Linked DNA regions of Diceros bicornis minor. The protein of the gene in region 3 purifies or fractionates together with the protein of the main gene of each other region. This does not show direct contact. Links are inferred from orthologs where the notes say so. Each region holds a gene or a part of one and is shown on either strand. Other genes may lie near its edges.

Region 1 (9,865 bases), on a different chromosome or scaffold from region 3:
ATGAGAACAAAGGGTCTGATGCAATCACCTGAAATCAAGCTAAAACGTTATTTTGCTGTGAATGGCTTATGTTGCCCACCCCAACCTCTGAACTTGACAAAATTAAATGATGCAATGTTACGTAAAAAATATTCTGAAATTTGTTCAACACAATTTCAATATATAGACACCAAAAAAAATTCATATTTTTTCCTAGAGTAACTATGCTATAATTTCACTAAAGTCTTCCAATGTAGTTATCACTAGTGAGAAAGCTTCCTGATAATGTTCTATACATCTTATGGTATCAAATTTACTGAATCAAGAAATTAAATTTGACCTACAAGACTTATACATACAACCCGGCCAGCAACCTAAAGGAAAGAATTTCCTATGCTATGCTTAGATGTTTCAGGAAATAGTTGTAATGCAAATTTACAGAGCATCATCACATGAGAATTAACAGTGCACAATCGAATCAATGCTGTAAAGTGAAAAATAAATGATTTTGACTGTCAAACATAAATAAGTCTTTAGAGATTACCTGATAAAGACTGTGGCCTTTTCCTAACCAACTAAATAAATAATCACAATGAAAATTTCCAAAGGAAATACATTCACTTTTTTACTCTTTATAAAAATTAATGGTTCCTTAGAAGAAACTTATTACGTGCCAAATTCAAGAGTGCCAGGCTAGTTCAGGGATCTGGACACACAGCTACGGCAGGTCAAATCATATCCCAGAAGTAGTGTCCCAGAGAACTCTGTTTTCCCACTCCACTATTGCAAGTCTCCTACTATTATAGTAAATCCCCATTGCATCGATAACAGTTTCTAATGCCTGATTCTCACGGGGGAAGAAACAAAATACTACATGATAAAAAGGCTATAAAATCTTAAGAGTTGTATCCAACTTCCTTTATTTCTACCTTGAGGCTCTCAATGACACAGATTGTTACAATCATGAAAAAGCAGACAGACCTTTGTGCTGGTTTCTGGCGTCTTTGAAGGACTCTTCACACTGCACACCAGATGCAAAACATGCCGTTTTTCCTGCTAAAAGTGATAAGGAGGGACTGTAGGACCTGAATTAAACTTGGTAAGTGCTTCAAAACACTCAAAAGTTAATATGTAAGTGATGTACCTTGGGAAGCAAGTCCCCGAGACACTGGTGATCCAACAGCAGCTTCCCAGAGTGAATTAACCTCTGGTCCTCTGGGCACTGATGGAAAGAAAGAGGGGCAGAGGTAAGCATTCAGCCCCCACAGGTTCCCAAACAGAGGAAATTGCTTTAGACAAATAATTTGAATATGTGTGGTTTTTTCCAGCATCACAGGAAAACATTTTTTCAAAGGCCCCACAGACAACACTTTTATTTAGAAAGTGCTTAACTTTAAACTGATCTCTAACACGCAAATAAATTTAGGATGCAAATCATCTCCAGTCCACAGAACCTATGGCAACCTTGACTTCTTAACGCTCAGGGAAATTGCTTTCTGCCACTAAAAACACAGATTTTATTTGGGGCTCTTATAGTGACTAACTTCAAAACCTTGTATGGTCTCAGAGAAAACTCAAAGTCCTCCCAAGGTCAGCTTTCACCAAAACCACCCCGCACTGTCCCAAGACAACACGAAGCAATTCTAAACTTAAGGCCTCAAAGAGACTTTTCCTGACAAAGAAATGCAGTTAGAGAGGAAATGGCGTGTGGGTGACATTTCACACAACAACCCTGGGAGATTTCGTGTCCTTATTTTAAGGGGGGAAAGTCTGAAACTGACTTGTGCAAGGTCACCTGCTGCTAAGAGTCAAGATTCCAAGCCCTCTTCTCCCTCCGGTGATTTAACACCACAGGGGCACCACACGCCTTTATACAAATCTCACTTTTCAAATCCATTTATTTATTTATTTTGTGTGCGTGAGGAAGATTAGCCCTGAGCTAATCTTTTTGCGGAGGAAGATTGGCCCTGGGCTAACATCTGTGCCCATCTTCCTCTACTTTATACGGAATGCCACCACAGCATGGCTTGACAAGTGGTGTGTTGGTCTGAGCCCAGGATCTGAACCTGCGAACCCCGGGCCACAGAAGAGGAGTGTGTGAACTTAACCACTACACCACCAGGCCAGCCCCCTAAAATCTATTTTTAATTCCTTAAAAACTGTACTTAAAAATAATGGCCTCAAAGTCAGTGCACAAGAGATCACCACCAAGTTGTCAACCCACTCTTGCCAGAATAACCAATTCTGCAAAATTTAGAATAAAGCTGCTCCTTCCAAATAGCTTAAGTTTATAAAGAAAGCTATTTAAAAGAAACAAAACAATAACTGTGTCTATTTATCTGCATAAACCAGGATTTTTTGACACTGTGCAACTACAACAAACTACAGAAACATATTAGGTGCTGTGTTCAGCATTGTTCTCACTGACTTTATAGGTAAAGGGTCTACACATGAATTTGTGCATTGCTATTGCAGAGCTGGGGTCCTGCATGACATTCAAGATTCCATACCAGGAAAGGTTGGAAAACCACAGCTGCCTGTGATTTCAACTGTTTTCCCTGTTAAAGGCCTGAATTGACACTGTGTCTTTACCCACGGGGCTGATTTGAAAAAAATTAAGCATGTTAAGCAAACTACTATTATAAAGTAAGGCTTGTCACATCAGAAAACAAATGATGAGTGCGCTCCAGTCCTAACTTTCACACAAATTTACCTGACAGACCTTTTATTACAACTGTGAGTCTTCAGACCTAATAGGAGTGATGCTTCTCACCCAAGGAAGCCCTTAAGGAAAGCTCTCCTCCAAAACACTGCCTTTTACCAAATGATGCAACCAGACTACACCCGCCAACTTGTGTACCTAACAGCCATTCTCACCGCAACACGGCCACCTGGTTTCTTGGAAGCTGCTATGGTGAAACTGCAAATAACGCCCAGGAGAATGCTCAAGGAATGGAAGCTTATTAAATAAATAAGCAAATTTCCAAAGAACAACTCAGAAGGAAAACTGGCTTCTACACTCTTGACAGTATGGGAAAAAAACCCTGACCCATGAGCTACCACAAATAGCAACTCTTCAGATAAGAAGGGACAGTTTCACAATCTTTTCCTGCCCTGATGCCCTCTCCTGTTTGATGGAGAGAGACCCACACTTGCGGGCAGTAAAGAACACTGCTGACACTTACATAATATTAGAGTAGAAAGTAAATACAGGAAGGTCCAGCTCAGGCCTCCATCACGTGGTGGGGAGAGGGCGGTGCTAAGGGAGATGTTGACAGATGTGTCAACCAAAACAAAGCCAGGAGTCTCCGCAATTGAGGGAGCCAAGTCTTCAAGCCAGACTCAAGAAGACTCCTTCCGCCGGTTTCCCTTCTAAATCCGTCTTCACCAGAAAGTGCACCAGACTCTTCCCTGGGACTAAGCAAAGGCTGCGGAGTCCAGCGCGACGGGGAGGGGCCCAGGGCGGAAGGTGGACACGGAGGGGAAGAGCCACGTCTCGCTCCTGGGTGTGGGACCTTAAGTACACACTGCCTGGGCGTTCATCATGTTTCTCTAGCCACTGGCCCGGGGCTGGCACCTGCCCTCCCCTCTCCGCACTGAGACGCTACATTCGGAAAACTCATTTCACAGCATGCATGTTTTCTTAGCTCTGCCCACGGGATGCGATCCTAATGAGGAACACCCAGTCGCCCTGTCGTTTTGGGGAAACTGAGGCTTGGAAGGTGAAATGACTCACCCAAGGGCAAACTGCTGTTTCAGCGGCTGGGCTAAGGCTGGGAGCCAGATCGAGGGGACAGGCAGGGGTTTGGGGGAGGTGGGCAGGGGTGTGACAGCCCTAGGGGTTTGGCGACACGGGAGGCGAGGTGACAGGGGAAGGCAGCCCATCAGGAAGGCGCGGCGATGGCAGCCTAGGATGAGGAAGTGACAGCCCCTGGGCCAAGAGAGGAGGCGCCTAGGGCTGTAAGGCAGGAAGGCGATGACCACAGCCCTGGGGGAGGTGACCTGGGAAGTACCAGCGGTCGGGGGAAGGCCGGCGAAGGCAGAGGCTATAGGGTCTGGGAGGCGGACGCTGCATCCCTAGGGGAACGCGAGGAGGGCTGGAGGGATGACAGCGGGGCTCGGGGGGTCCCTCTCACCGGGCGCTCGGGGTAGACGCGGCTCAGATGAGCCTTGAGGCGGCCCACGCTCCAGCTGCGGTCGCCGCTCAGCTCCAAGTCGCGGTGGCGCTGGTTGGGGCTCTTGACCAGGAGCGTGACTGGCTCGGGCTCGGGCTCCAGCTCCATGTCTGCTGCGCTGTGCGCTCGGCTGCGCTCCCAGATGCCAGGCAGGCAGGCAGGCGGCGTCCCAGGCGCCAAAACCCCCACAACGACAGTTCACGTCTCTTGGGCGCGCACCCCCGCCTCGGGAGCCCTTTATAGGCACCCCGCGCCCGCCCCCTGAGGAGCGAACGCTCTGTGGCTGCCGCCCATTGGCTGAGGCTCAGGCCACTTCCCCAACGTGGCCCAATCGGCGCCCGGATCCGTGGGCGGAGGGGCGGGGCGAGCACGTGGGCGCGGGCTGATGCAACCCGCCGCCGGTGCGTCACCCGGGGTCGCGGCTGGTGCCCGGGAGCCCGGGTTCGGTAGCCATGTTGGGGTGTTCTGCGGCCCGCGCCGGAGGAAGGGGATCGCTTCCGACCTCGGCTTGCTCAAGGCGCCTTAGGGAAGGCCAGCTTGGCCCACTGCCTGTTTGGCAGCCTCTGAAAATTGTTTCCTCACAAAGCAGCACCCCCGCCCCTTTTGATCCCAGGCACCGAGGCCCACTTCCCCTTTCCCTCCCCCGGTGGCCCGGACGGCAGGGCCCACAGCCTGCCCTACAGGGGAGGCCTCCCCACGCTACCCCAGCTTCGGCTCACAGAATGGTTGGGCAGACCTCATTTGCAAGTCCACCTGGAAGGGCGTCCACGGTGCGCCTTGGAAGGGCCAAGAAGAAGCAGGGAGGCTTCTTCCGGGGCTGAGGACGGAGGCATCCGAACCACTGTTGCCAACATTTACGGCCTCGGACTTGAACGTCACATCCTCAAGTGTGAGACATCACCCTTGTGAATGGCGAGCACGCCACAGTCCGGCCTACTCTGGGAGACACTTGAAAAGAGCCTCACTGTGGGACACTGACAGGGATCCTTTACATTGGGGCTGAGACTGGGAGAGCAGGGTTCTCCGTGTTCTAAAATGTGACCACAAAGGCCTCTCTGATGTTGACACTCCCTTCCTCTCCTCTCTAGGAAGAAACTCTTGAAAAACAAAACTGCGTTGCGCCGGCCCCATCCTTGTTCCAGTCCCGTTGGGACATCTGCTTCTCCAGGTGTGTCGGCAGCTTGGCCAGGGCAGGAGGGTAACAGCAGGAGCGTGGTCTGGTTGGTGGGTGTATTAGTGTGCTAGGGCTGCCGTAACAGAGTGCCACAAACTGGGTGACTTAAAAGACAGAAATTTGTCTCCCAGTTCTAGACACTGGAAGTCTGAGATCAAAGTGTTGGGCGGGGTTGGTTCCTTCTGAGGGCTGTAAAGGCGAATCTGTTCCATGCCTCTCTCCCAGCTTCTGGTGGTTTGCTGGCAATCTTCGGCATTCCTTGGTGTGTAGCTGTATCACACCATCCTTGCCTTCATGGTCACGTGGCGTTCTCCCGGTGTTAGTGCCTTCACATCGTTTTCCCTCTATGCATGTCTGTCTCCGTGTCCCAATTTCCCCCCTTTTTATAAGGACACCAGTCATTTTGGATTAGGATCCACTCTAATGACCTCATCTTAGTTTCATCATCTGCAAAGACCCCACTTCCAAATAATGGTCACGTTCATAGACGCTGGGAGGTTAGGACTTCAGCAACATCTTTTTGGAGGACACATTTCAATCCATAACCGTCGGCCTTAACGTAACATAGAACATGGGGTGGTTTCCTTTTCAGCTGGCTTTATACTAAGAAAGGAGGTAGAAGGCTTTGCAGATAAATTGTCTCTGTGCTCAGCTTTCTGTGGTTGGTTTTTGTCTGCTGAGGAAGGCTCTGTCGCTTTTCATCAGGGTGGCTTCATGGGTGTGGGACCTGGGCAGTCACAGGGGGTCCCACTCTTGGTTTAATGCTCTGCTGTTACCGTCTGAAAATTCTTAGTAAATTTTGAACAAGAATCCTTGCATTTTCATTTTGAACTGGGTCCCACAAATTGTGTAGCTGGTCCTGCTTTTCATACACCAGGATGGAAGAAAATGACTGATTATGATCTGGTAGCCTTGCTACTAGCTAGAAGCTGATCAGTGGAGCCAGGCCAGATAAAAGCAGCAGAGGCCTTAGGGAGGCAGCCAGGCAGGAGATAACACCTTCACTGGGGAATTAAGTACGCCACATAGCATAGTTTTCTCCAGCCTGCAGTGACAAGCATTAGCGCCCTTTAAGACAGCACATCCATTTCCACTCAGTAGGAAGAAAGTATAGGGGTGTGGTTTTTTTTCCCTAGGGAAAAGGCAATCCCATTTCTGTGATTCCCTCTTGAGTTATTTCCCAATGAAATAGCTCTTTTTAAAAAAAAAAAAAAACAGATATGCATATATTTCAGAGTGGAATTCAACCTTCACATACATTTTTAAATCTCTATTGAGGTAACATGCATACAGATAAATACATATATCATAAGGGTACAGTTCAATGACTTTTAACTGAATACATCCATGGAACCAGCACCCAGATCAAGAAACAGAACATTACCAGGGGGTGGGGGCAAAAGGGGTAAAGGGGCACATACGTATGGTGATGGGTGAAAACTAGACTATTGGTGGTGATCTACACAGAAACTGAAATTTAATGATGTACTCTTGAAATTTACACAATGTTATAAGCCAATATGTTCTCAATAAAGTAATTAAAAAACAAAAAACAAAAAAACCAGAACATTACCAACATCCCAGAAGCCACTCTTGTGCCTTTTCCAGATGCTACCCTCCAAGGGTAACCAATATCCCTATATTTAACTTTATATAAATGAGTTATACTATGTGTTTATTGTCTGGCTTCTTTTGCTCAACATTATGTTTGTGAGATCCATCCATATTGTTGCATGTCGTTGAAGGTCGTTCATTCTTGTTGCTGTATGGTACCCCATTGTGTCAGATAGCTCCTTTTAAACGACTTTGGTGATTCTGCTTACAGCACATTTAGAAAAATTAAATGCAAGTCAACAACATGCCAGAAATAGAAAGATAAACACGGAGTGACCCTGCTTTCAGTGACCTTACAAATATAACGGGGGTGATAAGACAGCACAAAAATACAGAAATAAAAGACAACCCAACAGTCTCACACATTTCTGAAGGACTTCTGATTACACTGAGGGTTTACATAGAGGCAGGAGGAGAAGTGGGGGAGAGACAGAGAAAAGTTGATGGAAGAGGTGAATTTGAGCTGAACTTTGAAGGGTGGGTGGGATTTGAGTAAAAAGAGTAATGGCAGTAATTATGTATTAAGCCCAATAGGGCATCTGTACGCAGAATTTGCATGGGCAAGCATAGCTATGTGGTTGAACTCATGGGCCCAGAGCAAGACTGTGTTTCCAAACCCAGCTTTTGCAGCTTATGACCTGTGTGACCTGAGGCAAGTGACTTAACCTCTCTGTCTCTGATTTTCCTCATCTGTAAAAAAGGAATAATAGTAATAGTAGCTATTTGATAGGGTGGTTGTGAGGCTTAAATAACATAACATTGCTAATGGTCTTGGGACAGGCCCGGATACTTAATAAGTGCTAAATAAATTTTAGCCATTAATATTTAAGGAACTGCAATGAATCCCCTCCAGTGGTTTCCTAACCCGCCTGTGAAACAGAATCACCCAAGGAACTCTTTTATTTTTTAAAGTGAAGGTTCCTATGACACCAAGTATTGGTGAAGACATGGAGCAATTGGAACTCTCATATGTGGCTGGTAGGAGTGTAAAATGGTACAGCCCCTGTGAAAATCAGTCTGGCATTTTCTCATAAAGTTAAACACACATCTATCCTACAAGCCAGCCATTGTACTCTTAGAGATTTACCCAAAAGACATGAAAGACTTGCACAAGAATGTTCATGGCAGCTTTACTCATGATAGCGGCAAACACTGGGAACAGTCCAGGTGTCCATCACAAGAAGACTAGATAAACAAACGATAGTGTATCTGCACAATGGAATACTACTCAGTAATAAAAAGGAATGAACTACCGATACGCACAGCAACATGAATGCACCTCAGACACATGCTGAGTGAAAAAAAATCAGACAAAAGAAGTACATATTATATGATTCCATTCATATGAAACTCTAGAGTACACAAAACAAATCTATGCCTGTGGATGAAGGGCGCCTGACTTGAAAGAGGCATGGCAACGGTGTGCGGAAGTCAGCTGGTACTGGTTCACAGAACTGGTTGTGAGTTTCTCTTCCCAACTCTGCTATCAGTGACATCACATTGATAGCTTGAAACTGGCCATGGTGGGAACAATTACACCACAGAGATCAGCAAATGCTATAAAGCAGAGCTTTTTTCCTCCAGGAAGTCAGTAGTTAAATTTTTACCAACACACCACTGGGCATGAAGGAAATTTCTGGGGTGGTGAAGTGTTCTCTGTCTTGGTAGGATGTAGGTTACACAGGCATAGGCATTGTCAAAATGGATCAAGCAGTACACTTAAGATTTGTGCATTTCACTGCGTATAGATTATACCTCAACTAAATATGTAAAAAAAAATAGGATGGGTGTCTGGGTCCCGTTTCAGGCCTACTAAATGGCCTGATGCATCGAAGTGGGGACTAGTTCAAGGGTCCGGTCTGGGAACCACTGGCAAAATGTGACAGTAAGTACAGGGTTTATTTTTAAATAATAATGATAAGTGAGCAAGAGGTAAGATGGGAAAGAATTTTGGGGACCACCTGAGGAAGGACTTGGAGTGGTTACCCTTGGGAGTTTGTGAGCAGTGGAGGATTTTGAGCAGTAGAAGAGACATGATCCGCGTCAGTATGGATCCACATCGTTGTGGAGGCAGGTTTGATGGGGAGAAACTTGGAGCCAGGAGGCCCGACTGGTTCATTCAAGGGGAAATGTGGATTAGCACTAGGATGGGCCAAAAAAAGAAAAGTGAAAAAAAAAGGAAAAAAAAAAACACACTGCAGAAAGACAGCAGGAGGGAAAGGAGTTTCGTAACAAAGATTGTTCATGAATAGAGATAATGGCTAACACTGTGGGGTGCTTTCCACAGGCCAGCCACACAGCTTTAAGAACCTTCATGACTTTATTCATTTAATCCTCACAGCAACCTTATGAAGTAGAATGCTATTATTATTTCCATCTTACAGCTGGGGAAACTAAGGCACAGAGCGTTAAGTAACTTGCACCAGTCAAAGAGCTAGTAACTCTTTGAAATCATTATTTTTTAATTAACTGGTACTGAGGTTTAATTTACATACAGTAACATACATGGATCTCAAGTGTACAGTTCAAAGAGTTTTGGCAGGTAGCTTCGCCTGTGTAACGCACACCCCTAATAAGATGAAGAACATTCCCATCACCCCAAAAGGCTTCCTGGTGCCCCTTCCCAGTCAACCCGCATGCTCCCACCACTCCTGGTCCCAGGCGTTTCTGATCTGCTTTCTGTCACTCCAATTTGGTTGTGCCTGTTCTAGGAGTTCTTATGAATGAAATCATATAGTACATATTTTTTTGTGTCTCACAAAGATAGACATTCAAGCAGATCAGGGAAAGAAATATAGTGAGCTGAAGGGAAATCCATATTCTTAAGTGAGATTTCTGGAAATGTGGAAAGAACTAGGGAAATTTTTAGACCTGATGGTAGCAGCACCTCTGTGGTGCTATGTCTCTTTGTGACCTCATTCAC
Region 2 (10,723 bases), on a different chromosome or scaffold from region 3:
GGACACCATGCTGGTGACAGTTAAATACAGAAAGACTCGATCTGTGTACTTTTCAAAAAGATTAACTCATCTGAGTGTCGTGTATCTGGGGGTTCTGATACAACTCTCTCTAGTTTAAGGTATATCTGACAATGTTCACATCGAGGAAAAAAGAGCTTTTTCAGAAATCTGGCTCCTGGTGCAGAATGGACCCTGGGGCTGTGCAGAAGCAGAGGCCTGGGCGGCGGCTGCCAGGGAACCCAGAGGGAGATGAGGCGGCAGCCACGGAGGGGGAGCGCAGGGCTGGGCTGAGTGAGATGTTCTGGAAGCAGAGCAGACAGGAAAGGCGATGGACGGCCCAGCAGGCCCCCAGGGCCTGGGGCTTGAGCAACCCCAGGCTGGTCCCTGTGGGGATGGGGAAGGCTGGGAGGAGGACCTGTTCTGAAGTCTTAGACATCTAGAGAGCACTATAACAAAGGCATCAAGCAAGTCAGCCATGGATGAGCGCGGCACCCACAGGTCTGGGCTGGTGACACAGATTTGGGGTCACCAGACTGAAAGCCCCAAGACAAGATGCGGGAAGGACCAAGTGCAGATAATGAACAGAAAGGTTTGCAGCTTAGGCCCTCTAACATCTGGAGGGGTGAGCAGGAGGAGCCACCACAAGAGCCCGAGAGGTAGGGGAAAAGCAGTGGACAACGGCTCCCAGACCAGGAAAGGCAGGCCTTCACAGAGGACCCAGAGGACCGTCACACCTGGGGATACTGCCCCTCTGCCTAGGATCCTTCAAGGACAGGGTGGAGCCTTGCTGAGCAGAGTGGTGCCAGAGCCAACAGGGGCACAGCGGTCCTGGGGGCTGCCAGGCAACACTCTAGACATTCATGAAGCACCACCTGTATGCAGAGCCAAGCCACAGCCAGAGCCACAAGACCCAGAAGGAAAAGCAGAGGATGCAGCGGCTGGACGAGACACACACTCCACCAGCTGCCCAGCTGCTCCAGACCTCTGGCGTCTTCCTCTGTGGGGGGCGACACACCTGCACCTCACCGGGTGGTGGGGAGGACTACACGAAGCTGGGTAGGCCCAGGGCATTAGGTCGCAGGAAGCAGCGGGGGGCTAAGTCTCACTTTCCAAATACAGACAGACTCCGACATGCCAGGCCAGGCCAGGCCAGGCTTGCTCTCTGGGGCTGCGGCACCCACAGGGGAGGGGCTGTGCCTGCACGGGCTCCGCCCCCAGAGCCGTACCTGCAAAAGCTGAGGGTTCTCCTGGCCCAGCTGCTGGAGCAGGGCCGGCAGCAGTGCCGGGTTCTGCTGAATCACCTGCCGCATGTTCTGGAATTGCGGCTGGTCTCGCAGGAACTCCAGGGGGTTCTCTCCCGCTGGCAGGAACAAGGTGTGTGGTCAGATACCACACTGGACTCCCAGAAGCACGGGGGTGGGGGGTGGGGGGGAATCAGATGTCTCGACAGCAGACAGCCCCCCACGAACGGCTCCCAGTCCACTCACCTGTTTCTGTGGTCGGCGGCTCAGACACCTGGCTCTCCTGGACAGAACCGGGTTCTGGCTCAGGGCTCCCAGGAATTCCCTGTCAGGGGTCCCGTTTAGTTCCAACACACAGACCGCCCACCATCTCCCTCCTGCGTGCTCAGCCCTGGCAGGAGACAGGTGAGGCCTGGGCCCTCCCTCCACTTCCCTCCCTCCCCCACCCGCTGCTCATGTGCAGCCTCCCGCAGGAAGCCTTCCTGGCTGGAACCACGACCCAAATACTTTTGGGGGCAGGTTTTGCCTCCCTGACCACCCCCCAGAGCATTGAAGCCCACGTCCTCCCTCGAGGCCTCCCCAGGAAGCAGCAGCCCCCCTCACCGTGAGCAGATACTCCACGGCCCGGTGGGGGTTGTTGTAGCTGGCTCTCAGGGCGGCCACGACACGCTCCCGCTCATAGCCCATGGACATGATCTCCGTCAGCATCGTCTCATACTCTGAGCCCGTCACTGTGGAGGGAGCGGCGAGGCCTGGGTCACCAAGGAGAGAGGACAGCTCCCAGGCCCTCCCACACCCATACAGGGCCCAGCTGATGGCTCGGGCGCCCAGTCACTCTGCCCTGGGGACCACCCACCCACCTAGCGTGGAGGCCGCGTCTTCCTCTCGCCCGCTGCTACCTGAAGAGGGAACAGAGCTGCAAATTCAAGAAAGAGAAATCGGACCCTGGCTTCTGGCTGCTTGCCCTCCCCCCAGGTGTGTGGGATCACGTAAGTGGGCGCTGGAACATGCTGGGAGAACAGGGCCCAAGCTGGGACTGCCGCTCCTTGCCTTACCCTGACACGGACTCCGGGGACGTCGTGGGGACTGATTCCTCCGATGGGCTCTTGTCCTCTCTGTCGGTGGGTGGGGGTTGGGACATGCCTGAGGCAGGGGCCGGAGGGAAGGTTGTGGAGGACTCTGGGGCAGCAGTGGGTGAGGCCTCTGGGGGTACTGAAGTGCTTGGGCTAGTTTTGGCCTGTGACACCCAGAAAAAGAGAGCAGACATCAGTATCCCTATCTAGCGCCCACACCCCGCCCCGTCTCAGCCCCGCCTGTTCACGGCTAATCTCTCCTGGGCACACACAGCTCTCTGCCAGCTCCCCAGCTAATCCACCCACCCTTCCAACGAGCACACTGCACCCACCTTGGTCACCATGACGACCACAAAATTCTTCTCATCGATGCGATAGTCCCTAATGGGGACATCATCGCTCAAGATCTTGCCAGCATAGATGAGTTTCTGTCCGGCCACAGGGAAGGCATCACGACCCTTCTCAGCTTCTATCTTTTCCTTTAGCACTTTCACCTGCAGGGACGGGGACAGTCATTGCAAACCCCAAGAGTCTCTCTCCCTTCCTAGCTTGGGGGGGAGAGGCTGCAGGCCCTGACGGCAGAGGCTACACTTCGTAGTCAAGCACGCTGGATTTGAGTTTGTTCCTTCATCTCACCACTCAGCAGGGTATTTACTGAGCACTCGTTATGGATCAGGGGCTGTTTCAGGCACTGAGAAGCACAGCAGGGAACAGAACTTCACGCAAGTCCCTGCGCTCATGGAGGTGACACTAATGTGGGGAGATGAAAAAAACAAATATATATCTCAGATGGCGAAAAGTATGATGAAAAGTCTATCAAAATACAGGGGCAGATGGAAGGGTTCCTCATTCCACACTACTGACAACGGTGTTTTTACTGAATGCATCGTAAGGTGATAGCGCTTTCATAAACGTATACACATCACGCTTTTAGAGCCTCATAATAACTGTATGACATGGACATCATTAGCCTCATTTTACAGTATTTGAGAAAACAAGGCACAGAGAGGTTAAGTAACTTGCTGCAAGTCAAACAGTTGGTCGGGACAAAAAAAAAAAAGAGTGTTTCCTCTCCCACCAAAAGCGGACTTCAACGTCTCCCTCATGACGTAGTTGTGCAAAAAGCACCAGGGACATAGTCAGACACTTGACATACTTGTGACGTCCTAAGTCTCTTCCAGCTAAAAAGGCAACATAACGTTCAGACCAGGGGCTCTCACACGAGCAGGAGCGAATTTGCATCCCAGCTCTGCCATAACTTGCTGTCCGCGACTATGGCACAGTGCCTCAACCCCTAGATTTCCGCATCTGCAAATTAGGGCGAGTCAGAGGCCCAAATGACAAGCCTGTTTTGCACATTTAGTAAGATAATAACACTACAGCACTCTGCGACTGGAAAAGAATAAACGGCCAGCAAACACAGACCACTGAAACGCACACGATTTATTGTCATTATCGTCGTCGTTGCCGTCACCACTCGGCATCTCCTGGTCACTACTCCCAGGTTCGGCCACCAGCGTCCCGAGGAGACGCCTGCAAAGCTGGGAGCTCGGAGACCCGGTCCTGGAGAGCGCGGCGGGGCCGGGAATCTGAGCCTGCGGCTCCCGCGCCCCGTGAGGGCGCTGACACTGGAGCCGGAGCCTGGCGGGCGCCCGGGGGTGGGGCCTCGCCCGGAGCCCAGCCCCTGAGCACCGCCCAAGTGGAGTCGCCAGGGGTTGGGCTAGGCTGGGCACCATCGGGGGGTCCCGGAAAGTCAGGCAGGGTGGGCAGGGTCCGGCCCGCGCCGACCTCCCCGCCCCTCCCGTCGGGATCCCGGCCTCCCCGCCCCCACCCCACGCCCAGCACCCGTCGCTCCCCCCCCCAGGCTCCGGCCCGGCTCGCACCGTCTCGTCAGGCTCCATGCGGATCTTGAAGGTCTGCTGCTGCAGCGTTTTGAGCGTGATGGTGACGGCCATGGCGGGGCCCGAGCGACGCGGCAGCCCCGGGATCCTCACACAACATGCAACTCACGCCGCCGCCATCTTAGCGCCCAGCCGCGCCGCACGCCTACCGCTTCCGGGGCAAGCGGTGCGCGCGCCGACCACCAGAGCACGTGACCTGCGCGCGCCCCCTTGGCCTCCTTAGGCATGCGCACGAGAGCGCCCTCGGGCCAGGCATGCGCAGATTAGAGACCGCTCCGCGGGAGGGGAGGGGGCTTCTCGCTCAGCGCGCACACCCATCAGGTGGCTTCTTGCGAGTGACGCCATGCCCGTTAGCGGTGACGTCATGCGGCCACAAAATGGCTCCGGGGTCCCCACTTTCACGCCCTTATTAGCTTGTTATTTGTGGATAACGTTGAACAAAATTTTTCATGTACTTGCTCTAGATATTTGTATTTCTTCCATAAAATCCTTGTTCGTGTTTTTTTGCTGCTCCCAAATGAGTTTTATTCTGGTCTGGCCACCCTGACAGGAACCCTGTCAAGCACTGAAAAGTGGAAATTCTAAGGAACAAGTCTGGCCGTGGAAGCAAGGACATCGGGCCATTTGGTGGCGTCGTTCATTCCTGAGGGACAGCTGGATTTGGGGAAGGAACCTGCAGTTCTAGTTCCTGGGTCTCCCAGTTCTCTGCTGTCCCACCCCACTATCTCCAGTCTGATCCCCAAAGTATTTAAGAAAGATGTTAACTTTCAAGGTCTCCCTACATTGAATACAGAATTCCCTCAACTTGCCCTGGATGCACAACTCTGCAGGCTTCCCAGAGGGCTGGGGCTGGGCCACAGGACAGAAACTTGAAGGAGGCCCATCCAAGGAACAAGGAATTAAAGTGTTGGCTGGCCAAAGGTGAAGACGGGGCTTGGGGGACTGGATGGAGGTGAGAGTGGGCTTATCTCACAGCTGGTTGGGGGGGAGGGGCCCTATCCTGCTCTGACCCTTGCCTGCCTCCAAACTTCTTCTCAGAGTTTCCATTCAAGCTGGGCACCAGGCAGTCACGTGATACCTCACCCACTGCCCCACTGTAACCAGGTCCTGCTGCCTCTCCCTTCACTGCATGCCCTGGCACAGAAGCTTCTACCAGAATAGGCCAGGCTCAGCTGACGGCTTCTTACCTCTCTCCTGCAACAAGGGACATCAGCTTCCAACCACTCACAGGCCTTCAGTGGCAGCCTTGTGGACCTTAGGCCAGCCTCAGGGGCCCAGACACCACTCTGCTATCTCTGCACCCCCCCTCAGGGCCACCTTTCCCTTCAAGAGGTTCAAATCCAAACTTCACCACTGAAGACCACGGACAAGCTATATACTGTCTCTGAGCCGACCTCCTTGATTATAAAGGAATTAATAGCTTTTACCACTGGCTGGTATTAAGAAAATCTTTAAAATTGTCCAATTGCTCTACCCAGTCTTGCCTTACCTTGATAGGTAAGAAATATGTATGGTTCAGTAACAGGGACAGGATGAGATGGTGGCTCAGGTGTGGGTTCATACCCGTGCCCCACCTCTTACCAGACTGTGGACCTCAGTCTCCTCAAACTGAATTGGTACTAGAACCGAAACTCATCACTTTGGTGCAAGGACTCTGAGTTAATACGTGGAATATCTGTAATGGCATTTAAAAGTTACTCTTCTCCCACTAGTCTGGGGTTGTGGGGGTAAACAAGGGCCCCTCTAACCTTATGGGACACTCAGCCAACTTTAGTGGCTGAAAAATGAGTCTTACTCAAGAGTCACCTCCCCCAGAAGGAGACACAGGAGGAAGACACAAAACTTAATTTAATAGAAATTCTGTTTGTAGTTCTTACATTCTCAGTGTGAACCGAGCTGGAACCTGCTGCCCCACCCAGAAGTGGCCCAGTCCTGGGAGCAGGGGAGAAAGGGAGGGGGTGGGGAGGTCAGAGCTCACGCCCTAGAGCTCAGGGCCTAGGAGCCCCATTCTTGCTCAGTGCTGGGCGACTGGGGACGCCACCCTCTTCTCCTGCCCTGCTCTGGGAGCCAGGACCGAGAGCAGATGGAATCTCGGGCCTGGGGCTTCTCCTCCACACCCCTCATGCCCCCAGATTGGAAAGGAACTAAGGGATCTGGGGAAAGAAGGGACCAGAAGGCGGCAAAGATGTCAATCAAGAAAGATGAGAACCCTGGGGTGAAGATAAAGGAGCACGAGACAAAACACCAGGTTAAAAAAAAAAAAAAAAAAAAAAAAAGCGGGAACAACAAAACTAAAATCCACCCCAAATTGGAACCCGCCTGGAAAAAAATGAAAGTTCTCCAGTCTCATAGAGACATTATTTGGCGTGGCCGGCTCTGCGGCAGGAGCGCTCAGGCCTCAGTCCAGCCCCGGAGGCGGTGGCACGGCCCCTACAGCTCATCCTTGGCCTGGCCAGCGGCAGCGTCTTCCTCCTCATCCTCCTCCTTGTCGTCCTCATCGTCCTCGTCCTCCTCCTTGTCGTCCTCATCTTCCTTGTCCGCCTCCTCCTCCTCCTTACGCTTCTTGTCTTCCTCCTCCTCCTTTAGCCTCTGCTCCTCGTCCTGCTTGTCCTTCATCTGCTTTTCCGCCGCCTGCGTGCAGACCACACGCTCAGGGCCTGGCCCCCGCGTGCCAGCCCTGCCCACCCCCAGCCCAGGACCGGACCCTGGGCCCACCTTCGTGACGCCCCACGTCTCGTTGCCAAACTCCTCTGCATACGCCTCGTCGTTGGTGATGAGAAAGTTGTCAAAGATGGTGCCAGACTTGACCTGGGGGGACAGGGGGAGAGAGGGAGGGGTGGTCAGAGGGGGCACCCCATGGTCCTGGCCTTGGACAGGGCTCCTACCCGCGTCCCCATAACCACTACACAACGCTGCAGTCTAAGTGCGGTTAAAACACACATAACCTGGGTTCGAACCCCAGCTCCTCCATTTCCTGCCTGTATGACCTCGGGCTGGTCACTTCCTTGCACCTCAGTTTCTTCCTCTGTAAGATGGGGTCTCACTCCTTGTTCAAGCATTGTTCCAGTTCCTACTATGTGCCATTCTAGGCACAAAAGGTGTATCAGTAAAAAAGAAACAAAAGTTTAGTCCCATGAAGCTAATTTTCTAATGGAGTTATCTAATCACCTTCTAGGTTGTTGGCACCAGTTAACAGGGTTGATCTGCATAAAGGTACTAGGAGAAGTACCTGGCACGTAAACAGAACCTGTAAGTGGCTGCTGTGACAACTCCATAGAGACAGAGCAAGAAATTCTTCAGAAAGAGCACCACCTTGGGGTCAGACTTGCCTAGGGTTCAATGCTACCCCTGTCCCTTTTCTCCTGCGTGACTCGGAGCACCTGAAGTCCCCTAGGAGTCCTCCTCTTCCCTCTATGTCTCACCTGCCAGAGATCCAGGCCCAGTACAGCAAAGTTTTCATAGGCGTAGATGTTGCTATCTGGAGAGTATTCGGGGTTGTCGATCTCTGGGTGGATCCACGTGCCCTTGTAATCTGGGTTGTCGATCTGCCGGGGCTTCCACTCGCCCTGCAGAGGGAGAAGGGAACCGGACGGTGAGCGGGACAGTGCACTCCTCACTGTGTGCTCCCGGCTGCTCCGAGCCCCAGACTCACCTTGTACTCTGGGTTCTGGATCACTGGTGGTTCCCATTCTCCGTCCATCTCTTCGTCCCAGTCCTCTGGCTTCTTAGCATCGGGATCAGGAATGTGCTCAGGCTTGTCCCAGTCCTGAGGGCACACGAGGAGGTCAGAGTTGGCCCCACTCTCCTCCACACCCTCCACGGTGGGGGGCCCTGCCCAAGCACCAACCTCAGGCTTGGAATCTGTGGGGTCATCAATCTTAGCCCGTTCGTCCCAGTCTTCGGGCTTCGCAGCATTGGGATCCTTTATTTTCTTGGGGGGCAGGAAGTCCCAATCGTCCTCCAAGGAGCCCGACTCCACCTGGCTGTTGTCAATCTTCACCTCATAGGTGTTATCTGGCCGCACGATCAGTGTGTACAGGTGTGTGAATTCATCGTCCTGGAGAGGGCGGGAGGTGAGTGGCCCCGCCCACCAGGCTGGCCTCTGAGCCTCCCCCTGGCAGCCCTCTGTCACCACCCCCAGGCACACCTTGCAACGGATGTCCTTGTTGATGAGCACGTTCTTGCCCTTGTAGTTGAAGATGACATGAACCTTCTTAGTGCCAGGGCCACAGATGTCCGGGCCTAGGTGACAAGCAGGTTCAGTTCAAGCTAGAGGCTGCCCACCATTGTGAGCCCCTCCACCCCTCTTTACAAAAAGAAGACAAGATTCAGACTCTGACTCTCTCTAACCGGCTGTGGGTGGAGCCTTAAGGAAAAAAAAAAAAATCAGTACTCCAGAACTCGATATCCTTATTTGTAAAACTGGGAAATGCCTACACAAGACCACACGAGTTAAGTCTTACACTGACAACAGCAATGCAACAAACCACTCCTGTGACTATCCTCCCAGCTTCCCCTCCAACGAAAAGCCTATTTTAAGCTTTGCTAAGCTCTCAAGACCACCTTTCACGGGCTATGAGGAACTCACGGGGTCTCACTCTCCCTTTAACTAATCAAAGGTCAGCCCCGGGGCGGGGCCCCTCACCAAACATGATGTTGTATTCAGAGTCTCCATGCATGTCCGTCTGGTCCAAACTATCCGGAAACAGCTTCACGTAGCCGCCCCCACAATCGATGTTCTGCTCGTGTTTCACAGTGAACTGCACCACCAGCGTCTGGCCCTTATTGCTGAAGGGTTCAAATCTAGCCGACAGGGCGTAAAAGCGGGCATCCTGGCTCGTCTGCAGCCCTAGCAGAAGACGGCAGTGAGGTCACGGCTCGGCCCCAAACCCCGGGGACCCTAAGGACTGCAGATACAGGCGACTCCCCCTTCCTCCACCTACCCTGCTCCTAGAACTTCCTCCAGGAAGTTCTGCTGGATCTGAGCACCCACTCGCAGGCTCTTACCTTTATCTTTCTCCTGGTCACCGTAGAACTTGCCGGAACTGAGGACGAATTTACCGAAATCCGACTTGTGTTTGGACTCGATCCAGCGCTCGGCCCACCCGTCTGGGGGATCAGAGGACCCGGTCAGTGCGGCCGTGCTGATCCCTCCCACCAAACCTTTCCCAGGAACCACAAACTGCAGGGGGGCAGGAAAGGAGATTCTCCCCTCCCAGTGCCCCCACGCCAACCTCGAGTTTGACACCTCCAGTGACTTAAGAGATCCTCGGGCGAACCCCAACTCCCGCGGCGGGAGGCCGCTGCACCCTCCACGCTCCCCAGGGACGCAGAAGGAAGAACAGCCTGCGGCTCTAGTTCCCCGGAGCCCCGTGTTGGCCCTCTGAGCAGTAATTACAGGCGACAACGCAGCTCTGGGCTGGTGGGCCGGCCGCGTCGTTGCGGCGGCCTCGAGGCGGCCCTAGGCGTTACCTCCGTCCAAAAACTGCTCCTTGAAGTAGATGGCGGGTTCGGCGGCGACCAGGCCCAGAAGGCCGAGCAGCAGCGGCGCGGGCAGCAGCATGGCGGGCCGAGGGGGCGGCGGCGCGCGGGCCCTTTAAGTCGCTCCTCCGGCAGCAGCTCTGCAGTAGGGGCGGACGCTGCTACCGGCCGCGCGCTTTTATACCCGACCGCCCCTCAAAGCAACCTGGCCCGGCCTCTTGGCCCGCCCTCCACGCCTTATCATTGGCCTGCGGCCCCGGCCCTGCCTTCCCATTCGGCCGTTCTCGGCTCAGCAAGTTAGGCTGTGCCTCGGAACGCTGGGTTCCCAGATGGCCGATTTCTATTGGCCGCACCACTAGCCAATGACGGTCGACCACGCGTTGTGGGGGACGCCCACCGGTGGGGTGGGGAGCCTCGAGCCCCTCAGACCCCATGGGTCATGTGACCAGACCTCGGCCCAACCCCGCCCTCGCCCGGGAGCTTAGCTCCGGCTCTGGGCGTTTAAAGAAACCGCGCGAGCGCAGGTGTCGCCGTGCAGGACCGGGACCTTGTCCCCGCCCCGCCCCGTCCCATGCCCTCTGCGGGGAGGGGTGGGCAAGATTTTCCCAACCTCTTTCTACCCTGCATTTGGGGCACTCCCCCTCCGACTCTCTCTCTCTCTCTTTTCTTTCTCTCGCTCTGTTTGCTCCCGCCCAGGACGGGCAGAGGGCACAAGAGCTCAGGGGCTGGGGCCCTGGGGCCTCACTTCACCGTGGCGCCGCAGCCTTGCAGGCCGAGTTCTCTCCTCCGTGTGGTGCGTGCGGCCCCTGATGCCCTGTCAGACTGCTGCTGTGTGACCTGGGGCAAGTCACTTAGCCTCTCTGAAGTCTTAGGAGCTCCTGAGAGGCCAGGAGGAGCGACTGTGGCCAGCTGATGCCCGGGAGAAATGCTTTCAAAGCTTTTAGGGATGTCTTGGGCCAGAGGAAAGGAAGCCCAAAAGGCTCGAAGACGTGACTATAGACTGTGGCTTACTTAGGGTGGGGTAGGG
Region 3 (10,541 bases):
AGTGACCACATACGTAACACAGTGAATTAAGAGCTCCCAATCGCAGTATTGTTTCCTGTATGTCTGTATTCCCTAGGAATACATTTATCACAAATTATACAGGACTTAAATAAACAAAACTCTCTTGAAGGATGTAAAACCTTTTCAAAAATGAGGCAACATATCATGTTTCTGGAAAGCATTGCATTCGTAGTTTTCACCATCATATTAATTGAAGACAATCCCAACCAAATTCCCAATTTATTTTGCAGGGGAAACCTATTAACTGTAAAGTTCATCTGGTAAAATAAACATGTCAGAATTATCAGAAAATTGTGAAAAACAAAAATAAAAATGATCAATAGGAGGATCTGCCCTAACAGATATGAAATCATATTTCTAACTCAATAACTATAGGCTGGTGTACTGGGGCTACAATGTTCAGTGGTACTCAAGAGAATTCAAACACAGAAGAAAGTGTATATGTGTATGACATTTCAAATGGGGGTGGTGGACAATGAGACAAAAACCGGCTAACAACCGGTTAACCCTTTGGGAAAAAAAAAAGTTAGAATACCTAAATCCATACATCAAAATAATTCCAGATAGGGCAAAAAAACCTTTTTTTTTAACAAAACCATTAAAATAAGAGAGATATAGGATAAAATTTATATAAAACTTGGGGTGGGGCAATCCTTCTAAACATGATCCTACGGCCAGAAGGAAAAAAGGAAAAGATTTATCCATTTTTAATTTTTTTATTTTTTGTCATTTTAATGCATTTTTCCCTGTGCACAAGAGAAATAACTGATAGAGTCAAAACATACAGTTTCCTTTATACGCAGCAGTTAAAAGTAATGCAAACATCACATAACACTTTCAGTGAAAGTTACATTTCCAATTACAAATCAAAATGTGTATTAGGGTCTTTTTATGGGAGAAGCTCAGCAGAAGTCTTAGGTAAAAAGCACTTTCCTGGCATTACTACACTGATCCTTCGGGCTGCACAAAGATTAAGGTCATATACATTCAATCTGCAAATGTTGACGCAATGTCACACTTTAAGTTTTCTGTACAATTAAATGTATATTTAGAAATAATCAGGATAAACATTTCTACTATATTTTAACTGAACTTGCCTAGCCAACATTTTCACTGAGAAGTTTATCAAAGATGCTGTAAGATTCTACAAAATTGTGAGACATACCTAGCTCCAGAAATATTTCTTATATTTTTTCTGAATTTGGTTACACATATTCTGCTCAGAGATTCTGTTGTAATATTTCTAGATGTACAGTTCCAATTGTGCTTACTGTACTGTGTACAAATAGCAAAAAAGATCAAAGAATGGTATAAATCTTACAGCATTTTGCTAGCAAAAATACATGCCAAAGTCACGATAAGCAATATTGTACCACAAATTAGAGAGCTTCAAATAATTTGCTTTTGCTTTTAATTATTTTCATTCTACATTAAATTACTATCATAGGCTAATGTTTAAAATGCAAAGAAACTGGACATCTGTAGGACAAAACTTGTTCACCCAACTGTGAAGGTTGATACCTGTTTCCAAAAATCACAATAAATGCAGAATAAAGAGAAGTGTTTGCATGCAACACCTTTGAGTGAAACAGCATTGATTCCCACCATCAAAACAGAGAAGGAATGAAAAAGGAAGGAGGGAAGGAAGGAAGGAAACAAAGAGGGAGGGAAGGAGGGAGGGAGGGAAGGAAGGAAGGAAACAAAGAAGGAAGGAGGGAGGGAAAGAAACAAAGAGGGAGGGAGAGAGAGAGGGAGGGATGGATTCCATCTTAAAATGCATATTAGATTCATAACTAGACAGATGTAAAAGAATCAAAATGAAAGTAAAGCACAATTTTTTTGTGTGTTTAAAGATTTAAGAGCCATTATCAAAAATAAGATACATTTTTTCAAGGTACAGAAATGTGATTAAGATGGCTGGGAGCCCAGCAGCCTCTCAATGGCTGCATTGATGTCGCCTCCTGTTGCTATTAGAGCCTGCAAGTTTGCTTCACGGTTTAAGAACCCCATTGCGTTGAGCTGTTCCAGTTGTTGCTGAAATCTGACTTCTGGATTCGGCAGCTGTGGAGGATTTACTCCAGCCAGAGCCTGCACCATTTGCTGAATGAACTGCTGGTTGGGTCCAGATTCTGATGTTGGGCTTGTGGTCTCACGGGGTGCAGAACTAGATATGGTGGGCCCAGGGGGGCCGCTGGAGCCAGTGGAGCCAGGGGGACCTGCAGGGCCAGTGGGTCCTATGGGCCCAATAGGGCCTATGGGGGTAAACGGGACTATGGGGCCTATGGGGCCTATGGGTGTGACTGGGCCTACAGGGCCTATAGCAGTTCCCAGAACCCCCACCCCCACACCTGGAGTGAAGCTTGGAATGAGGCCAGGCGCTTCAGTGGCTAAAGTTTGTAGCCCCTGCTGGATCTGCATTAAAGCCTGCATTGCTCTTGGGTTTGACATAGCTGAGAGTGTGTCTGGATTCTGCATCTGCTGCAGGAAAGCCGGGAGCTGTGGACGCATCTGCTCCTGCAGCTGAGGATTTGCAGTGAACACTGGGCTACTCAGCATCATCTGTGCAGCCAAATCTGGATTCTGGCTCAGCGACTGCATCATGCTTCTCATGTAGGGCGCAGACAGCATATTCTGGATCAGCTGGGGGTTTTCAGTTATCTGTTGCAGCAAGCTCTGCATTCCTGGGGTACTGAAGATGCTGGCGACATAATTGGCTGCAGCCACGGTGTTCCCGGTAGCACCGGTGGAGCTACTGCCAGACCCACTGCCACTGCCACTGCTCATCGTTGTGCTGGTGGTTGCAGAACTCTGGGTAGCCGGTGGTGGCGCCCATGGATTGGGTAGTGGATCTCGATTTTCTGTGCGAGAAGGCTGCGTGCCTTCTCCAGAGGAAGAACTGCTCCCCACCGAGGCAAACGGATTACCCCCAAACTGCTCTTGTGCGGCATTCAGCATGGGTTCTTGAATGTCAGTGTACATGCGCCGTAAGGCATTGTAGCCACCTGGGATGCTTTCGAGATTGCTGAGAGCCAGGTCCTGATTTCTCATCATCTCTTGCATCATGGCTGGATTCCTGGCGATTTCCAGGGTCTGCCTCATTATATCTGGGTTGTTGAGCAGGTGACTGATTTCTGGGTTTCTCTGAATCAATTGTTGCATCTGTGGATTGGCCATAATGAGCTGCCTCATTAGATCGGGATTCGAAAGCATGCTCTGAACAAAGGGATTTTCCATGATTTGTATCATCATCTCAGGGCTGGACAGAAGCTGCTGCTGCATCTGGTTCTGGAGCTCAGAGAAGTTGGTGGAGCTCAAGCCCAGGCTGCTAAGGCCTGCAAGTCCTCCCAAGCTCCCCAAACCAAACGGGTTGCTATTTGTGGAAATAGGTGTAGAGTTATTCCTGGGAGTCGACGCGGAGGTAGTATTAGTTCCCGCGGCATTACTAGGCTGTGTGGACTGGGCCTGAGGTCGGTTCTGGCTTTTGATGACAAGGTGAACAGTCAGTCCATCATGGATGCCGTGCTGGATCAAGGTATCTTGATCTTTTAAGATTTTTCCGGCAAAAATCAGCACTAGCTGATCGGTTTGGGATTTGAAGCGTTTCGAAATCGCTTCCTTAAACTGTTGAACTGAGCTATTCTCGGGCACCGCGAACTCCTCTTTCTCTTTGGGGGTCTTCACAGTGACTTTGATGATTTTGGGCTCGGCCGGAGCAGAAGCAGGGCCTTGGGCTGCAGCAGGGCCACGGGAGGGGCGCGGGGGACCGCTGCTCTCGCCGTTCTCAGCCATGGCGGCCGCGGTGACGCAGGCAGACAGGGAAGGCGCGGGCGGGCAAGAGAGAGAGCGAGGGAAGGAGGAAGGAAGCAGGCGCCGCCACAGCAGGCTGGGCAGGGCCGGGCGGGGAGCGCGGAGCACGGTACCTCTGTGATGAAGACTGCGGTTCCCTGGTCCTCCAGTGGAGAGAGGGATCTGTGTAGGCCGCCGGCCGAGGTCCCCTCGCTCGCGTCTCTGGGCCTCCGCCGCCGGCTTGTGATCCCACCGCGCGCACTCCCAGCAACTCCTGCAGCCGCTCCGCCGGCTCCTCCCCGCCCCTTCCCCTCCCCCAGTTTCGCGCTCACCTCCCCGCCCCCCTCTGCTGACGCGGTGCCAGGCCCGGAATGATAGATTCGACTCAGTCAAAATTAAAAACTTGTGTACTGAAAAAAGAGAGAGAGAGAGAAACGAAGAGAGGAAGAAGCAAAGAGAGAAGAAAAGAGAAAAGAGAGAGAAGGAGGGAGGGATAGAGGAAAGGGAGCCAGCTTCTGTAAAGGACATTAAAAGACCAAGGGAGAATATACATATATTTTCAGTCCATAAGGCAGTGAAAGGATGAAAGCCTGGATCGAACCAACCCTATGTAAAAGATGAAAAATAAAGAATTCTGACAAAGCAAAAAGGAAAAGATTAACATTCCCGATGCAGGACGGGGAGAAGACTGGGAGGAGCGTGCATGTTACAAAAGAAGTGCAAATGGCCACTGGGCATATAAAAGGATGATTAAGCTCACTAGTAATCAAAGAAATTCAAATTAAAACAATGAGATTTTACTTCTGCCTTATCATATTGGCAAGAATATGGCAAAGATGAAAAATAATGGTAAACATTATCTTCAACAGAGAGCAGAAAAAATGTACTCTCATGCCAATTGAAGTGCAAGTTGTTATAAGGCAATTTGAAGATATATACCAACATTTTAAATATTTCCACTTTTGTTTAGAAATGCCTCATTTAGAGACCTCGTCTATGAAAATAGTTGGATAAGGATGCAAAAATATATATATAATGTATATACACTGCAACAATTAAAAACATTATTTTAAAAGATAATCAATTTCTGTTTACACAGAATTAGTGAAATATGATGTTAACATACAATAAGATAATATGCAGTATGATTAAAAATGGGAGGTTAATTTATATGATATCAAGTTCCTTTAAAGGTATACATCACATAAACAGTAGTTATAGGGAAATCACAGAATACTTTCACTTTCAGCTTTATATATTTCTGTATAGTTATAAATTATACAAGCCTGTATGTTTCAATACCAAAAAATACAACAAATATATTTTTATTTTGAAACTATTTTTTAAACAGTTTGTATATATAAACTGTCTTTGAGTGCATGTGTAAAAAGAAATCTGGAATGCTATACACCAGTATGTTAATGGTGGTTATCACTTATTGCTGAAATTATGAATAACTAGTCCTTTCTTATTTTTAATAAAATTTTAAATTTTCTGATGGCTTTTATAAGTATGCACTGCATTTATAACTTTTAAAAGATCACAAGGTATTTTGGGGGGAGGTTCTAGGTAGAAATTGACAGGCACACAATAGTAGTGGCAGACATTAACATATTTACCTAATTTAGTTACAGATTAAGTAGGAGAAATAAAGATGTAGCATGTGAATAATAGAACAAATAATTTCAAATTTATGTATAAATTTCTAACTCTGGTTTATACCATACAGAAAATACTTTTTCTCCTTAGTATCCAGCCAGCATTTAACAGCATTTGCAAGTCCTTAGGCCATAAGTACATTAATAAGTCTCAAGATAAGAAAAAAAATACTGGTATGTGATGTCTATCAATAGAGGAATGGATTAATATAGTATGATTAATATGATTAATAGAATACAGAAGATAAAGGAATGAACTAGATCTAAATATATTATGTATAGATCCCAAAAATCTAATTAATTAGCACAACACCCTGGTGTTTATAGATGCATTCATATGTATGTGAAGCTATTGGAAATATACTAGAACGATTCATGCTAAACTTGCACCCATGAGTAAGAGAATATGGAATAGGACATATGATAGTGATTAAAAGGAAATTGGATTAAATCTGTAAAAATGTATTTCATCTTTAAAACGTCAGCAAGTATAGCAAAATAGCAATAGTTAATTCTAGGTAGTAGAGATATGTGTATTTGTTATAATACTGTTGTATATTTTTTATTTTTCTTAAAAAATTAAGAAAATATCACATCATCTTCTTTGATCTTAATAGAACAAAACTAGATATTAATAATGAAAGTGTAAACGAAAAACTCAACCACTTGAAAATTAAAACAGAATTAAATAGTTTTGGGACAAAGTGTAAATCAAAGTTCTTATTAGAGTGAATTTAGAAAAATAATGATAATGAGAACATATACATCAAAAATTATGACGAGATTTCCCTACATGTGGTTTGAGGATCTTGTTATAAATACAGATTTCTAGGGCCCACTCCAAACCTACCAAAATAAGCGGTGCTCAGGAATCTACATTCTTATCAAGCTCCAGTTTAATGATACTTGATTTACCAAATACTATGTGAATGAACTCAGAGTCAAATTTATACACTCAAAGACCTTAAATACCAAATAACAAAAAGTGAAAATAAATGAATTAGGCATTCAAATAAAGAAGACAACAGAAAAGAAGGAAGCCGGGTGCAGCCTACAAAATAATAAAAGCAAAAATTAGTGAATCAACAGAGAGAAAAAATAAAATTTGTTACATAAATCTAAGTTATTTGAAGAAGCAAGTCAAATAGATGTCCCATTATTAGTTTGGTGATTCTCTTACAACCCTCACCAAAGAACACAGCACAGGGGCAAAAGCACACTCACCCTCTTCTAGAAGTCTCCCAAAAGCATATTTCTTTTTTTCCTACTTTACATTCTTTATTAGAGAGCAGAATTAAGAATAAATAGCAATCATCCTGGAGTCCCTCCGTAGAAGGGTAATTTCTGAGAAACTGAAAGACTTTGTCAAAGAGGGTCTCCGTATGGGGGAGACCAAAGTTTGGGCTCAGTAGACAATATTAGAGATTTAGTGTTATTTTGGCCATTGTTGTTTTCTCCCTCACACCCAGATTTATTGAGATATAATTGACATACAACATTGTGTAAGTTTAAGGTGTACAACTCATTGATTTGACACACATATTCTGAAAAATGATTACCATGGGGGCATTAACTAATAACTGCGTCATTCACATAATTACCTTTTCTTTTTTGTAGTGAGAACATTTAAGATCTACTCTCTTAGCAAGTTTCAAGTATATAATACAGTATTATTAACTATAATCACCATGCTGTACATTAGATACCCGGAACTTATTCATCTTGTTAACTAGAAGTTTGTACCCTTTGACCAACATCTCCCTATCAAGACTTAATCTCCTTAAGGATAGAATGTTAAGGGGATATTGTAGGCATTAAAAATGCTCTGAGATGAAACAATTATATAAACATACAAATAATTACATAAAGCAGAGGTTAAGATTCCAGGACTGCTCTATGAAGTCTATTTAATTTACAACATGGTTAAAAGCTGAAGTTAGCTACATTATAGTCAAATGAGGGTGTGTCACCATTGAAAACGTTGTATGTAAAGACTGATTCCAAGATGCAAATCAGAATACCAACAGAAATACACCTGGTAGCAGTGGGAGGGGACACTTCCTCCACATGTATTTACAGGTGGATTCCCAAGACTCCTGTGTCAGTGGAGAAAATCAGAAAAAAGAAAGAAGATACTTGGGAATCTCCAATGGCAACAGAGAAATAAAAGGAGTTAAACTGTACTTGAATTGTAAAACAAATCTCTTTCCAAGGTGACTGCTTTCATTGGCAAATCTCTGTATTAGATAAGTAAGACAACTGGTTTTTACTTTTATATGTCCTGAAATCCTCAGATTGGCATCTACAGATGGCATCTGTTGGTGAATTGTGATGTTGTAGTCCAAACCATCAGACATTGAAAATACCTAAGTACAAATCAAAGGAGAATGCAATGTTTACAGGAAAAGTCTTGTGGTCTGTAGATGGTGGAGGGTAAAACAAAGATACTAAAGTTAGGAAAATTCAGATTTTTGCAAAGGTAATATCCATTGTTAATGGTAAAAATCAGTTGTGACAGTAGATACAGAAGTGATAGCAGTATTATCTAAGGCAAATCTTCAAACTTGCGTTTGTCTACACAAATTCTTTTCAAACAGTAGGATGATAAAAATAGTTTAAAGGGACTCAATTTCTAGATAGCTGATATCCATATATCTTCTTTCTTAAAATTGATCTGCCAGAAAATATCCCTAAGGTCAAGGCATCCCCTTTTGCAATTGACCTTTTCCCACTTTACAAAATAAAGGCATACTTCTGTCACACATTCAAGATTTTTCTACGTTTCATTGCCTCTGGGTGTAAAAACCTTGAGTCAAAAAAGGAACAATTTGAAATATATATTGGTGTCCATGTTGAGAAACTGAATGAGTCTAATGACTAGGTAATAAATCATTTTGCAAGTCTGTGATTTCCAATTCTTTGCCTTGGACAAAATTGAAGGAGGACATAATTGAATTTTCAGATGATAGATCATTAAAATAATTTTTGAAGATGGATCATTATGTGATTTTTGGCATATTATTTGCAAGGAACTCAAAGATAAAAGGAAATTACTATAACAAAGTCCTTCCATTCCTATCTGCTCGTTTACTTATTATATATTTTAGTGCTCATATTTATAAAAACACATAGAAGGAAAAGACTTGCTAGCAATGAGTAATATTCTTGTTTGGATAAATAAACTAATCAGAAAGCCCTCAAATGAATTTCCAATTAAATTTTACCTCTTTATATTTAATATTTATCAAAGTTGGTGATATATTTATATTATTTTGATCAATTGTGTACTAACAGTAATTGTAATGATAAGTTAATACAGAAAAATTTCTTAACCCTTAAAATTAATTTTAGTTTATATAATTTTTATTGTAGGAAAGTATAATAGGGTGATCAATGAAAGTCTTTTTAATATTAAAAAATATAAAATTAGGAGAAAAATTCTGTGGTGATAATAAATGGAAATATACATCAAAGGAAAAAGAGAAATTATAAATTATCCAATTATTAAAGAAGAGTCTGTTAATGTATTTTAAAAACAAATGATGGTGGATCTCAAATTGCTATAGTATGTAGATTCTGTTGGATATATTTAAGAGAGTGATATACAGTTTATTTCAAAATGTCAATATTCATAATACTTCAGAAATTACATTTATGCAATTATTTAAATATATGATGACAAACTTGAGATGTCAGCTTAAATATGTGTCATGGGGTATGCAGTGGCTCAAAATTCTGTTATGGAAGTACATAAGCAAAAATGTTTGAAGATCGCTGATTTAACAGCTGCCTTGCTGGCTTTGGTCATCTGCTTTGCAAGTCCAAAGACTCACTCTTGTCAGCGTCCAGAATGGTTAAGGCCCTTATAGACTGACTCAAGAAAGTGAAAAAGCAGATGAGATTGTGATAGACACCAGAACATCAATTTATTAATTTTCAGTGAGAAATAGCACTTTCACATCTACTGGAAATACTCAAGTCTATGCATTAAGCACATTTTCCCTTTACAAAGCTAAATGGAAAGCCAAATAAAAATTAGAACAAGAAAATGAGGGATCTTTGATTGCCCTTTGAGTGTAAATTGTAGGCCAGCACATCATTGATCAGAGAAGACACAGGCAAAATCATCTGAAAGATGTGTGACGGGGTGTAGTAAGATGGTTGTTAGGTAAACTGAGATTCATAAAATCATAAACCAAAAGTTTATTGGCATTAAATCCATGCTAGTGCTGTATATCCATCTCCCAACAGAGATAGTCTTGCTCATGGGATTAGAAATACTAGAGGTTTAACGGCTTAAGACACCTTTATCCATTGGATACTGCCAATGTTTACATCAGTGACCCTCCTTTCCTGTGCTTTTGTGGCTGACCAAATTCTTCAGCCCCTTCAGATTCCCTCATTCTTTCTTAAGATTCTAATACAGCCAATCAGGTCTTAGTATACTTCTGCTTTAGGGGGCTGAGAGTCATTATTTCTCCTCAGTTGATTTTGCATCTCTTTTCTCTGATTAATGATGTGTGGATTCTACAATTTAATTCTCAAAAGGTAATCAAATAGCCCTCCTTTTGTAGTTCTTTAAGTAGAGCGCAGTGGAAACGAACCTCATTGTAGTCTTTAGTACTGACAATGCTGCTCAGAAAGAGCAACATCAATGAAATAAGTAAGTACAGTTTTTTTCCAATTAAAATTAATAAATTAGTAACACATTATTGTAGAAGTTTATAGGATTGTGTTGCCAGTTGGAATACATAGTCACACACATAGACTTGCCACATGTAGGCAAGAACTTAATGTATGGTGTAACAACAGTCAAAATATACAGGAGTAATCAAAGAGAGAAAATCTGGTAACACAGAAGTTGAGAAAAAAATGGAAAAGGGGATAAATCTGGCTGGTTGGGGAAAAACTATGAAGGATCAAAAAGGGAAGATTGGGAAAGCAAGCTTCCATGAGGAAGTGCGGCCAGGGAACATTACCCAAGGAGAGAACTATATTGAAAGATGATGACATAGGCAGAAATGGATGGGGAGTGAAAACCAAGAGTCATGAAATGGAAAATGAGACAAAGAATGT

The links. The genes of interacting proteins can lie anywhere in the genome.
Region 1: the proteins of UBQLN2 (region 3) and HERPUD1 purify together in Homo sapiens (affinity purification with mass spectrometry; 3 studies listed by BioGRID, with this or other methods). This does not show direct contact. The link is inferred for Diceros bicornis minor from reciprocal best matches to the Homo sapiens genes UBQLN2 and HERPUD1.
Region 2: the proteins of UBQLN2 (region 3) and RAD23A purify together in Homo sapiens (affinity purification with mass spectrometry; 3 studies listed by BioGRID and IntAct, with this or other methods). This does not show direct contact. The link is inferred for Diceros bicornis minor from reciprocal best matches to the Homo sapiens genes UBQLN2 and RAD23A.

The regions. Positions count from the first base shown.
Region 1 is NC_080771.1:10,448,286-10,458,150, reverse strand, and holds the start of HERPUD1 (homocysteine-responsive endoplasmic reticulum-resident ubiquitin-like domain member 1 protein), read right to left. Parts: upstream 4,359-9,865; 5' UTR 4,263-4,358; coding exon 4,116-4,262; intron 1,202-4,115; coding exon 1,124-1,201; intron 1,036-1,123; coding exon 961-1,035; intron 1-960. UniProt on the Homo sapiens protein: Component of the endoplasmic reticulum quality control (ERQC) system also called ER-associated degradation (ERAD) involved in ubiquitin-dependent degradation of misfolded endoplasmic reticulum proteins.
Region 2 is NC_080769.1:4,460,045-4,470,767, forward strand, and holds the start of RAD23A (UV excision repair protein RAD23 homolog A), read right to left. Parts: upstream 4,359-10,723; 5' UTR 4,270-4,358; coding exon 4,198-4,269; intron 2,809-4,197; coding exon 2,647-2,808; intron 2,479-2,646; coding exon 2,297-2,478; intron 2,158-2,296; coding exon 2,102-2,157; intron 1,973-2,101; coding exon 1,845-1,972; intron 1,567-1,844; coding exon 1,488-1,566; intron 1,361-1,487; coding exon 1,227-1,360; intron 1-1,226. Other genes in the region: CALR (calreticulin), read right to left, coding at 6,646-6,846, 6,931-7,023, 7,638-7,781, 7,868-7,981, 8,063-8,272, 8,363-8,457, 8,861-9,064, 9,223-9,324 and 1 more. UniProt on the Homo sapiens protein: Multiubiquitin chain receptor involved in modulation of proteasomal degradation. Binds to 'Lys-48'-linked polyubiquitin chains in a length-dependent manner and with a lower affinity to 'Lys-63'-linked polyubiquitin chains.
Region 3 is NC_080781.1:48,325,840-48,336,380, reverse strand, and holds UBQLN2 (ubiquilin-2), read right to left. Parts: upstream 4,085-10,541; 5' UTR 3,811-4,084; coding exon 1,930-3,810; 3' UTR 614-1,929; downstream 1-613. UniProt on the Homo sapiens protein: Plays an important role in the regulation of different protein degradation mechanisms and pathways including ubiquitin-proteasome system (UPS), autophagy and the endoplasmic reticulum-associated protein degradation (ERAD) pathway.